2 linked regions of the Drosophila melanogaster genome follow. The protein of the gene in region 1 purifies or fractionates together with the protein of each later gene. This does not show direct contact. Each region holds a gene or a part of one and is shown on either strand. Other genes may lie near its edges.

Region 1 (4,815 bases):
CCTGCTTGTTTGTCCAGGATGGGAACAGAGCATCCCAAACAACCCAACAGTCCAGCCACCTACACTAAAGCCTTCCTGGCTCCATCCATAGAAACCTCTTTTGTTGGACTAACCAAAGTCCTAAAATCCCACAGCTCTAAGCTAGATTAAAGCTGATTTACAAACAAGAAAATTATTTAACAAGCTTAAAGTACACGCTTTGTTTTAAAGTTTTTAAGCCGATTAGTTAATTACTGCATAGGGAAAGTGCCCACAATAGATGTCTTTAAATCCTATTCTATTTATACTTCTTGATTTCAATTTGTTACATGATTAAGTTAAGTTTTCTGTTTTTTGTTTTCGGTAATTTAATATATTTTCACTGCATTGCATGGCCTAATAAAAATGCTGCCATAAATGTTTAATATCAATAAAGCTGCGTTTTTAAAGCAAAAAGCTATTGATTAGATATTCCCAATAGCTATTGTTTATTATTTACGGCCTCATTCAAGAATTTCAATGGCCTAAATAAGCACACGACTGCTTACATCAGAAACCCATCAAATTTGGATATTTAGCCCGCCACGCCCACGAATTATTGACCATTCCAGCGCCTCAATCATCCGCCCACTCTTGAACTTTGGCAAAGAAGCGTTTGGGGAGATGGGTTTCCTGTGAAACCATAACGATAAACCTGAGCAGGCGATGTTCGCCAAAAGGACTGCGGCACCATCTTTGGGCCAACAGATACCAGATACTCCGGACCAGAGGCATCAATAGTTAAACATCAATTTGGCTTTTCCGAGTGACGTCAAGCGGGGCGAGTTGCCACCTGCCGCCCACCTCGACCTCCAGTGGATATAAAATTTCACACAGCTTAAAAAAGAGAAAAGCGGCAAAATGGAAATGCCATAAAGTTCCCACTTACAGAAAGAATGCCCATCTGCGAAATGTACCTTAAAACGTGAATAAAGACGCTAGTTTATTCTATAAATATTAACAACTTCATGGATGGATACAAATTATATTAAAACAGAGCTAAACAGATAGTAATCGAGCTTCAGGGATCTAGAAAAATTTGACACTGTTGTGTATGTGCAACTTAAACAAATTTAAATAAAATGTAAGTATTGAGACTCGTAAAGCTTAAAGTTTAAGCATAAGGTCCTCAAAGTTGTACATTTTACTGTATGATTAATAATATAATATAATTATAGCTTTTTCTCTCTGCATCAACGATATGATATAGGCATCCGTAATGAGGCATATACATATGACCAGCAACCAATTCCGCCCACATCCGTACATTTGCACTGATCCCCTAACAATACCGAAATGGGCTTTCTTGTTTGCTGAACTAACAATAATTTCATTAAGCCCAATGGCATCATTAAAATTTGCCCAACAATCATAATGGGGCCAGCTAGCAAGCGAACTGGGTACCGAATCTGCCAGAGGCTGCATAGGCAAACCTAAAATAAAAGAAAAGGAACACAGACCAAAAACAGAACCCCAGGGTACCCAAAAAAGCAGTGGAAATTTGCTGATTTAACTTTGGCAAAAGGAGACGCACACACACCTGGTTCGAGTGAAAGCCTTCGGGCCAAAAAGAAACGAACAAGTTTAAATGGCAGGGCGACAGCTTGGCCAGCAAAACGCTTTCCGCAAAGAATGAATAAAAAGAAATTGTTTCGCCCTGCAGCTTCTTACTAGCCCACTGACTCATATTATATACATATGTATATGTACATAAATATATATAGTATATGTGCATATATGCCTTACATATATGTATGTATGCATACGAAATGGATCCATCTCGTCTATATAGTATAGTCGGTTTGGGCCAAGTTTGGGCAACCAGACGGTCGCCGAGGTGCAAGAAGCGCTTGATGAAGTGCAAATGCCTGAGGTCAAGTTTAGGGTGGGGATTCTCGCACACCATCACACACTCGCACACACACACACACACTGCCTCATTTTGCGTCATATGTGTTTGCAAGTGTGTGTGAGTGTGCGAGTGTGTGTGGTTTTGTTTGCCAGTGTCTGGCGCACAGCAGCCAAAAAATTTGGGAAAAAAGTGAACAGCGTGATGCAGAAAAAGTGTAAGGGAACCCACAAAAATGGAAATCAATTCTTTGATTTTTTTATCGTGGTTGCTCCCCTTTGTCTAAGTGCAAAATGATAGAGGCATAGGAAATGGTATGTTTTTAAAGCGTTCTAGAACTTTAATTGTATTGCACTGAGGTATTTAAAATATAAAAGAAAAATGCTTAGTGTGTGGGATTTCACCTGCGTTTTTGTCTGCGTTTTGTTTTTTACGTTTTTATACTTTAAGAAAGTGAATAAAAGCAAGGATTTTATTAATAGAAACTAAAAAACCATATTTATATTCAATTTTTTTTTTAACAAGAATGAATTATTATTATTAATACTTTATAAAGGGGTAAATTATAATCTTTCAAAATATATTGATTTTGCGAGATACGGTCATAAATTCCATCACATCTCTGGGGTAACTCTTTCATAAAGTTTTTACTTCATTAGCAGCACTAAAAAACGTTCATTAAAGAAACATTCACAAAATTATGTTAATCATTCCACGTCCATTGCCTTTCCACCTCCCCATTTTCCGACCCCTTCTCTCAGCGGAAAATTGTATGGCAACTAATCAGAAATGTACGACAACTTCGGCAGAACAGTCAAAAAATATTGCACAGGGCCAATTGATTTTTTCCGCAAGATTTTCGTGACTTGCCGAAGAGCGAGTGGAAATGTTTAAGAAAATAATTATATGGAATTATGTTATTCACTGATTTGTACTCCTTTTCCGACATACAACTTCGATTTTTCCGCTTTCTTTTGTTAATTCACAGCGCAGAAACTCGATTTGCCGTTTAGCTGTGCAAAATCTTGTATATTTGTATACATATATATGTATATGTATATATATATCTATAATTATGTATTTGTTTGTAAGGCCCGGGGAGTTATATCTTCGAATCGAAATCCGCACGGCACTTCCACACAGGCGAGCGGCCAACGCGCGAGTGAAATGCCGATGCAGAGAAGTATGCTAGGGAAATTTTTCGGGGAGAATGTAGCGGAAAGCCATGGAGAAAGCTATTGAGAGCGAGTCTCGGCGAATGGAAAAAGTAAAGAGCAAGAGCGAAAAAAGAAACTAGATAATTTGAGAAAAAATGTTTTGTTCTTTTAGTAGTTTCTTAGTAGACGTTTTTAATGAATGACTATAAAAAAATTATTATTAAAAAAAATATTTTATAACAATTCATTTTAGGTAAGCTATTTTGCTATGACTGTCTCGAAAATGAAGAAATGAAAAATATAATTTTTAAAAACATTTTTTATTCCAACACGTAAACAGAGTAAGAGTAAAGTAAGAATTCTATAATCTGAAATTACAATTCCGGATCCGTTTCGATGGATGAAGGTGATCCAAATGATCCGGAACTGAGTGGGGCAGATGTTACTAAAATTCAGTCCTCGTCCAAGGATTGGAAAAAGAAAATTTCCCTTCCCCGCTCTTTCTAGCTCCAAACAGCCTGTCGTGGCCTTGTGAATATACTTCACTTTTGGAGAGAGAGCGAAAATAAAAGCCGCAGACCGGCGCTTTAGCATTGCCATCTTAGATTCAATGGATGGCAATACCTTTCTCTTTGGCTCAGCTGTTTTTTGTGGCATCTGGGGAAATGCTCTCTCGCTCTCTCTCTCTCTCTGTCCTTCCATCTATTCTCTGTTGGCCATCGCTGTCTCGCTCTTGGGTAATGGCATCTTGTGTATCGACCTTATGAGCTGCAAAAAAAGTTCTTCGGACCTGGACAAAAGTTTTTCATGTACATATGCGTATGTGTGTGAGTGTGTGCCGGACAGCGTTGCCATATTGCAGGCGCATAAATTATACCGTTAGCTTACAGATTCTAACTTTTTGTATTGCTTTGTTTTTGGGAGAGCTGCAGAGGTTTTTGCTGGGCGGAGATGAAGCCGGAAGGTGAAGCGAAGTTCTACGGAAACACACTTTCCAACATAAGAAAAAATTAAAAAAAAAAAACGAAACCAAAAAACAAGAGAAGCAACAACAGAGAAGTCAAAACACGGGCTTGTATAAATGCAAAACACACTCACCAACAGCCATTTACTAATCAACACAACAACAATAAGCACACAAACAGAAAACATGTGCGGCATACAAACACACAGACAGGACATCCTAACATATGCAGGAGTGCGTGTAACGGTAACGTAATACCTTGACAATGTCCCTCTCCCGTACGCACACACACACAGTCGCAGGAAAACAGACGCACACAGAATACTTTTAATACATTTTAAGCCGCATTTTTTCACACGTGGCCACATAACACAAGAATAAAAACAAGAAAGAATGAGACTGTCAAGTGTTGCGACAGAAAAGCTACCCACTACCAGGCAATTGAATATTTAAGTAGCATAATTTTTGGGATATGTCCTGAAAAATAGATGAATAAAGAACTTGGAGTACGCTTGTTTTTAACGAATACAGCATACCCCTTGAAAAGTACCGGGTATGCAACAACAACAACCAACATGTTGTCCTTACACACTGTTCTTTTTTGTCATTCGGAGATATGTATGTACATATGTGAAGATGTGGACTGGCCACAAAATATCAGGAAGCCTGCTCCCCAGAACAAAAACAAAGCCGCATAAAAAGGGTAGCGGAAACTGTAACACCCTCTCCATCAAAACCCCACACCAGCCACGAACTTTGTTTAGTGCGACTGGCAGTTATCATATCTGCTGGGCCGTTAGTTGGCTTTTTTCTTGTTTTACATATCG
Region 2 (4,956 bases), on another chromosome or scaffold:
GCCCGCACTGTTCTTCACATCGTTGCTTTAAATGAGAATAAATGAAATAAACGTGTCAACCAAGAACACACAGATAATAATACGACCGGTCAGAGCTTAACCGTGTATCTGTTTTATAAAACGTGAACAATATTATTAGCCCAAAACGATATGCGCGTCATTTTAACACACACAAAGTCGCGATCGGTGGGTCTAGTGTGCCCGTGTATCTCTATCGAAAAAATCATATATTTTTTAGAAGGTATATTTTCCATGACTGACTGGAATGGGTGGAGAACATCGCTTTGGGAGTGAAACTCCGCTATAAATTGTCATTTGTTTTTATAGCAACCTTTTTGATATGGTCGCCAACTTTTATATAATTATAATAATAATTTTTGTAATTAATCACCGCTGTCGCACGAAAAATTTAGGAAATGTGCCAACGAGCGGAATTTTTCGGAACGATCGATGTTTTACCATAACCTGCTATATAAATTGTGAACCACATTTTCAACACAAAACTAGATGTGCTTCATTTATAACGCAATGTCGTGATTTTGTGGGCAGTGTGACCATGTCCAATCTGCGTTCAAGTAAAACCATATTTAGTGACACAAACTTTCCATTACAAAATACCAAACAACTTTAAATTTGTTGTTGCATCAAACTTTTTCTTTCTATACATATAATATTGCGGGTGTATTTGGATTTCTAACGCAGTTACAGGCGAATAAACTCATTTTCTTTTGACTTTAAAATCTTATCAATTTTACGCCGTCTATGACATACTTATTTTGTACCTGAAATAAGGGTGTTTGTGAAACCAAGCCACTTACCCAACCCATTAGGTACATAAACGCAATCTTATCAGCTCCCCCCTCTTTCTGGAGCTGGATGGCGATTACCTCTGACCTACTTTTATTTGTTGAATAACATGTTTATACTAACATAGGATAAAAAAAATTTCATATACGTATATTTATTAAACTATTATGGTAATAGGGAAACATCTATGGTATATTTAATTCGAAAATATTTAAAAGGAATGGACAACATTACGAGCACAACGATATAATAGAATTTTTAAAGTAGCCAATACACAAAAATATGCTGTGGAAAAAGACACTCACAAAATCAACCAAGCTTCAGGTACCTCCTCATATTTGGCACCGCATAGAAGGAGTGCACAAAAGAAACGAGCAAAAAAGCACCGTAACCTTTTTTATGCGGTGCTTTGTGGCGCGAGTCTACAAAATACTGTGTGTGTATGCGGTTTACTTGTAGTTGCGGTGGAAAAAATTTACCTAAATGTTAATGCCCAAAAGTATGCACATAGGAGAAGACATAACAAAAGATTCAAAAGGAGGTATTTATTTATTCCTCATAAATTATAAGCTTTCTTCTAACTTCCATAAAAATGTATTTACCACCCAAGATCAAAATAAATGACCCCACAAAATATACCAATCGGCTACAAATACTTAAAAAAAAAAAAATAGAACGGAAAGAGAAAATTGTTTGTTTTACCTTACGATGTAGCGTTGTCTGTCAGCACTGGGCTGCTGCCCTTTTCCTCTGATAAACTTTAACATGATTGGTTATGCTCTTGTGGTGGTTTGGTTTTGATGAATAAATAAGTATATTAATTGTGGCCGAATTTATTCTAAACTGAAAATAATAATAAAAATTAATCAAATTTTCAATAAGTAAAAAATTAAAAAGGAACTTGTATATTTTTTCACTCTTATGAATAAAACCGAGAATTTAAATTTAGGTAATACTATTAATACCTTTTATAGATACGGACGATACGTTTAATATTATTCTGGTATACTTTAATCAAAATTTGTTTAACAAAAAGGGTTTTACATTCTTGAAGTCATAGGAAAATCAGTGGACAGATAGATCTTGGCTCCCAAGATTTTCCAAACTAGTTGTGCTTATTTTCTTAAAACTTCAAAGATTTGCATGTAGGCAGTTTAATAAACATGTTTGTACATATGTATATGTACATTAGGAAAAATGAAATGATGAGCGATCTGTACTCTTTGCAATGTGTATGTATGTACATATGTACCTCCCTTTAATGAACTAGCAATTCCGTCACGCACACGAAATATTTTTTTATTTGTAAATCTTTTTTAAAGTTTGTTTAAACAATTTAGTTACTATTAAAGCTCTAAAATTCATAAATAAATAATAATAAATGTATTAATTAGGACAAAAAACAACTTAAAACATATACGTTTATTTTTGTAAAAGCGTTTTAGGCAAACGCTAGCTGGTCGGTACTAATATTTTTTCTAAGACTGTATACCGTATACATACATTTATGTACGTAGGTATGTATCCGTGAGTAAGCTGAGGTGCAAAACCGTATCACCATTTGCTTTTCGGCTGATAACCAATACCAAGTAAGTCAACTGTTTCCCAAATGTATCTGCATAACAAGGTGATGACCTAATTTTGAGTACATACCGATCTTTACAGTTGACCAGCTTTGCGATTGCATACCGGTATCTGTTTATTCACATATACACACACAAATTGCGTGTTAGACAGACAGCAAAATGACGACTGTTAACTGTTGGCGTGGCTGACTCACCGACTACGCCTCTATGCTAAGAACATACATATTTGTGGACACTTTATTTAAGAAGTTTGAAATATAAATCAATTGCCTAATCAGTAATACTGTTGTTGAGCCCTTTACCTTTATGTATTTCCGTTTGTACGGTTAAGGCGGTGGCCGAGTAATTTTTTGAACTATTTTATTTGCTCACCATCACGCATAAGTTTGTATGTATTCTTATGTTGAGAAACGCCCGCACTGTTCTTCACATCGTTGCTTTAAATGAGAATAAATGAAATAAACGTGTCAACCAAGAACACACAGATAATAATACGACCGGTCAGAGCTTAACCGTGTATCTGTTTTATAAAACGTGAACAATATTATTAGCCCAAAACGATATGCGCGTCATTTTAACACACACAAAGTCGCGATCGGTGGGTCTAGTGTGCCCGTGTATCTCTATCGAAAAAATCATATATTTTTTAGAAGGTATATTTACCATGACTGACTGGAATGGGTGGAGAACATCGCTTTGGGAGTGAAACTCCGCTATAAATTGCCATTTGTTTTTATAGCAACCTTTTTGATATGGTCGCCAACTTTTATATAATTATAATAATTTTTGTATATATAATCATAATAATATCATATAATAATCACCGCTGTCGCACGAAAAATTTAGAAAATGTGCCAACGAGCGGAATTTTTCGGAACGATCGATGTTTTACCATAACCTGCTATATAAATTGTGAACCACTTTCTTAACACAAAACTAGATGTGCTTCATTTATAACGCAATGTTGTGATTTGTGGGCAGTGTGACCATGTCCAATCCGCTTTCAAGTAAAACCATATATTGCCACAAACTTTCCCATACAAAATACCAAACAACTGTAAAATTTGTTGTTGCATCAAACTTTTTATTTCAATACATATAATTTCATGTGCACTAAAGTGATTATTTTGTATTTGCATTTAAAAATTTCTGTGATTAATTGTCAATACGGAATGTATGTGAGGAAGGATTGCCGTCGTTATCCATCTGGTCCATAAATTCGTCTAAACGCTGCAGAGATTCAAGAGCTTCCCGAGATTCTTCGTCTTCAATATTATTTAATTTTGCAGAACTGTTTGGAAACTCAGTGTGGACGATGTCTAGCTGACCATGATCTGTTTCAGGTGCCCCGTAGCTTCCGTATATTTCCCGAAGCGTTGCGCGGGTAAGATTTAACTCGCGCATTCCAAAACTCATTTTTTGAGCAACCTCAGCAGCCTCGCGTCTATTGGCCTTTCGCTTATCATGGGAAAGTTGCTCGGCATTAGTGCGAAGCATTGACCCACTTGACGCCGACGACCAAGAGGAGGCGGCCGACTTGCGGGAGCGCTTGATTATTTGGCGGCACTTGTTGGTAATCCCACCGACGATCTCGGATACCAGGGCTGTGGCTCCTAGAAAGTAGCCCAGTGCCATGAGCAGGAACATTCCTTCTGTGTCCGCTGTAGTCAATTGGCGCTCTTCCTGAATTATTTCGCGTAAGGAATTCGAAGAACTTGCCTGGAGCAGGCGTCCTGAAGATGATCGCTGCATGACCCAGCTTACCTCGTTATTGATTTTTGCAATAAGACCACTTTGCTGGGCAAGTAATATCATCGAGTCGATTTTGATTTTATACACTGACTCTCGGGGAAACAGAAATCCTATTTGGAAAAGAGCAAAACACTCTTCACTCAAATGAAGCGCCGATCGGCGGGAAATATTTCTAAAAGAGGATATCGTTTACGGTGGGAAGATTAAAAATAAAGGATCGATCTTACTCATCTGAAAAATTTGACTGCACCAGGTATTCGAGCTGAGCCTTTGAGCCAAGAAAGGCATAGTTCCAAAAGAAGCTCTGGGTAACGTTGCCAATGCCCTCATCTACGGACCCGACAAACTCCATTTTCTTGTACAATCTAGACGTCGGTATATGGGTCGAGTTCTGGAACCAGGTCTCCCAGCCACCATTGTCTTTAAGTAAGAAGCCCAAATATTATATACAAATGTAGCGAGCCTAACCTTTTCTTACTCAGGGTTCCAACGCGAAAGAACAATCCCAGCAGATCCAACACAGAGTCAACGGTGTCCGGAAAAGCTGGCAACGTTACGAATGCTATGATGGAACCTGTGTAGCAAGATGTAATGATAATTGTAAAGAGCCAATATGCTCCAATTAGAAGGCGTGTGGAATTTTTCCGCGTGTTGCTCCACGAGTATTTTCCGGTGAAGGAGAAAGCGTTTGTGAACATGCCAAATACATACCAGAACATGTTTTCTACCTCACCCCAATTACCCATTAAATGGCTAAGTGTCAAACGGTCGGTAAAAACTATCGGAAATATTCCACCGAGGTAAACGCAAA

The links. The genes of interacting proteins can lie anywhere in the genome.
Region 2: the proteins of aPKC (region 1) and l(2)gl purify together in Drosophila melanogaster (affinity purification with western blotting; 6 studies listed by BioGRID, with this or other methods). This does not show direct contact.

Annotation. Positions count from the first base shown.
Region 1 is NT_033778.4:14,955,426-14,960,240, forward strand, and holds the start of aPKC (atypical protein kinase C), read right to left. Parts: upstream 3,032-4,815; 5' UTR 2,819-3,031; intron 1-2,818. UniProt on the Drosophila melanogaster protein: Serine/threonine protein kinase which is required for apico-basal cell polarity in the germ line as well as in epithelial and neural precursor cells, for epithelial planar cell polarity and for cell proliferation.
Region 2 is NT_033779.5:18,371-23,326, forward strand, and holds the start of l(2)gl (lethal (2) giant larvae), read right to left. Parts: upstream 3,007-4,956; 5' UTR 2,696-3,006; intron 2,604-2,695; 5' UTR 2,461-2,603; intron 1,651-2,460; exon of another isoform or gene 1,646-1,650; 5' UTR 1,575-1,645; coding exon of another isoform or gene 1,515-1,574; 5' UTR 1,510-1,514; intron 201-1,509; exon of another isoform or gene 1-200. Other genes in the region: Ir21a (ionotropic receptor 21a), read right to left, coding at 3,549-4,317, 4,373-4,565, 4,624-4,956. UniProt on the Drosophila melanogaster protein: Essential for the development of polarized epithelia, for cell polarity associated with asymmetric cell division of neuroblasts during development, and for oocyte polarity formation.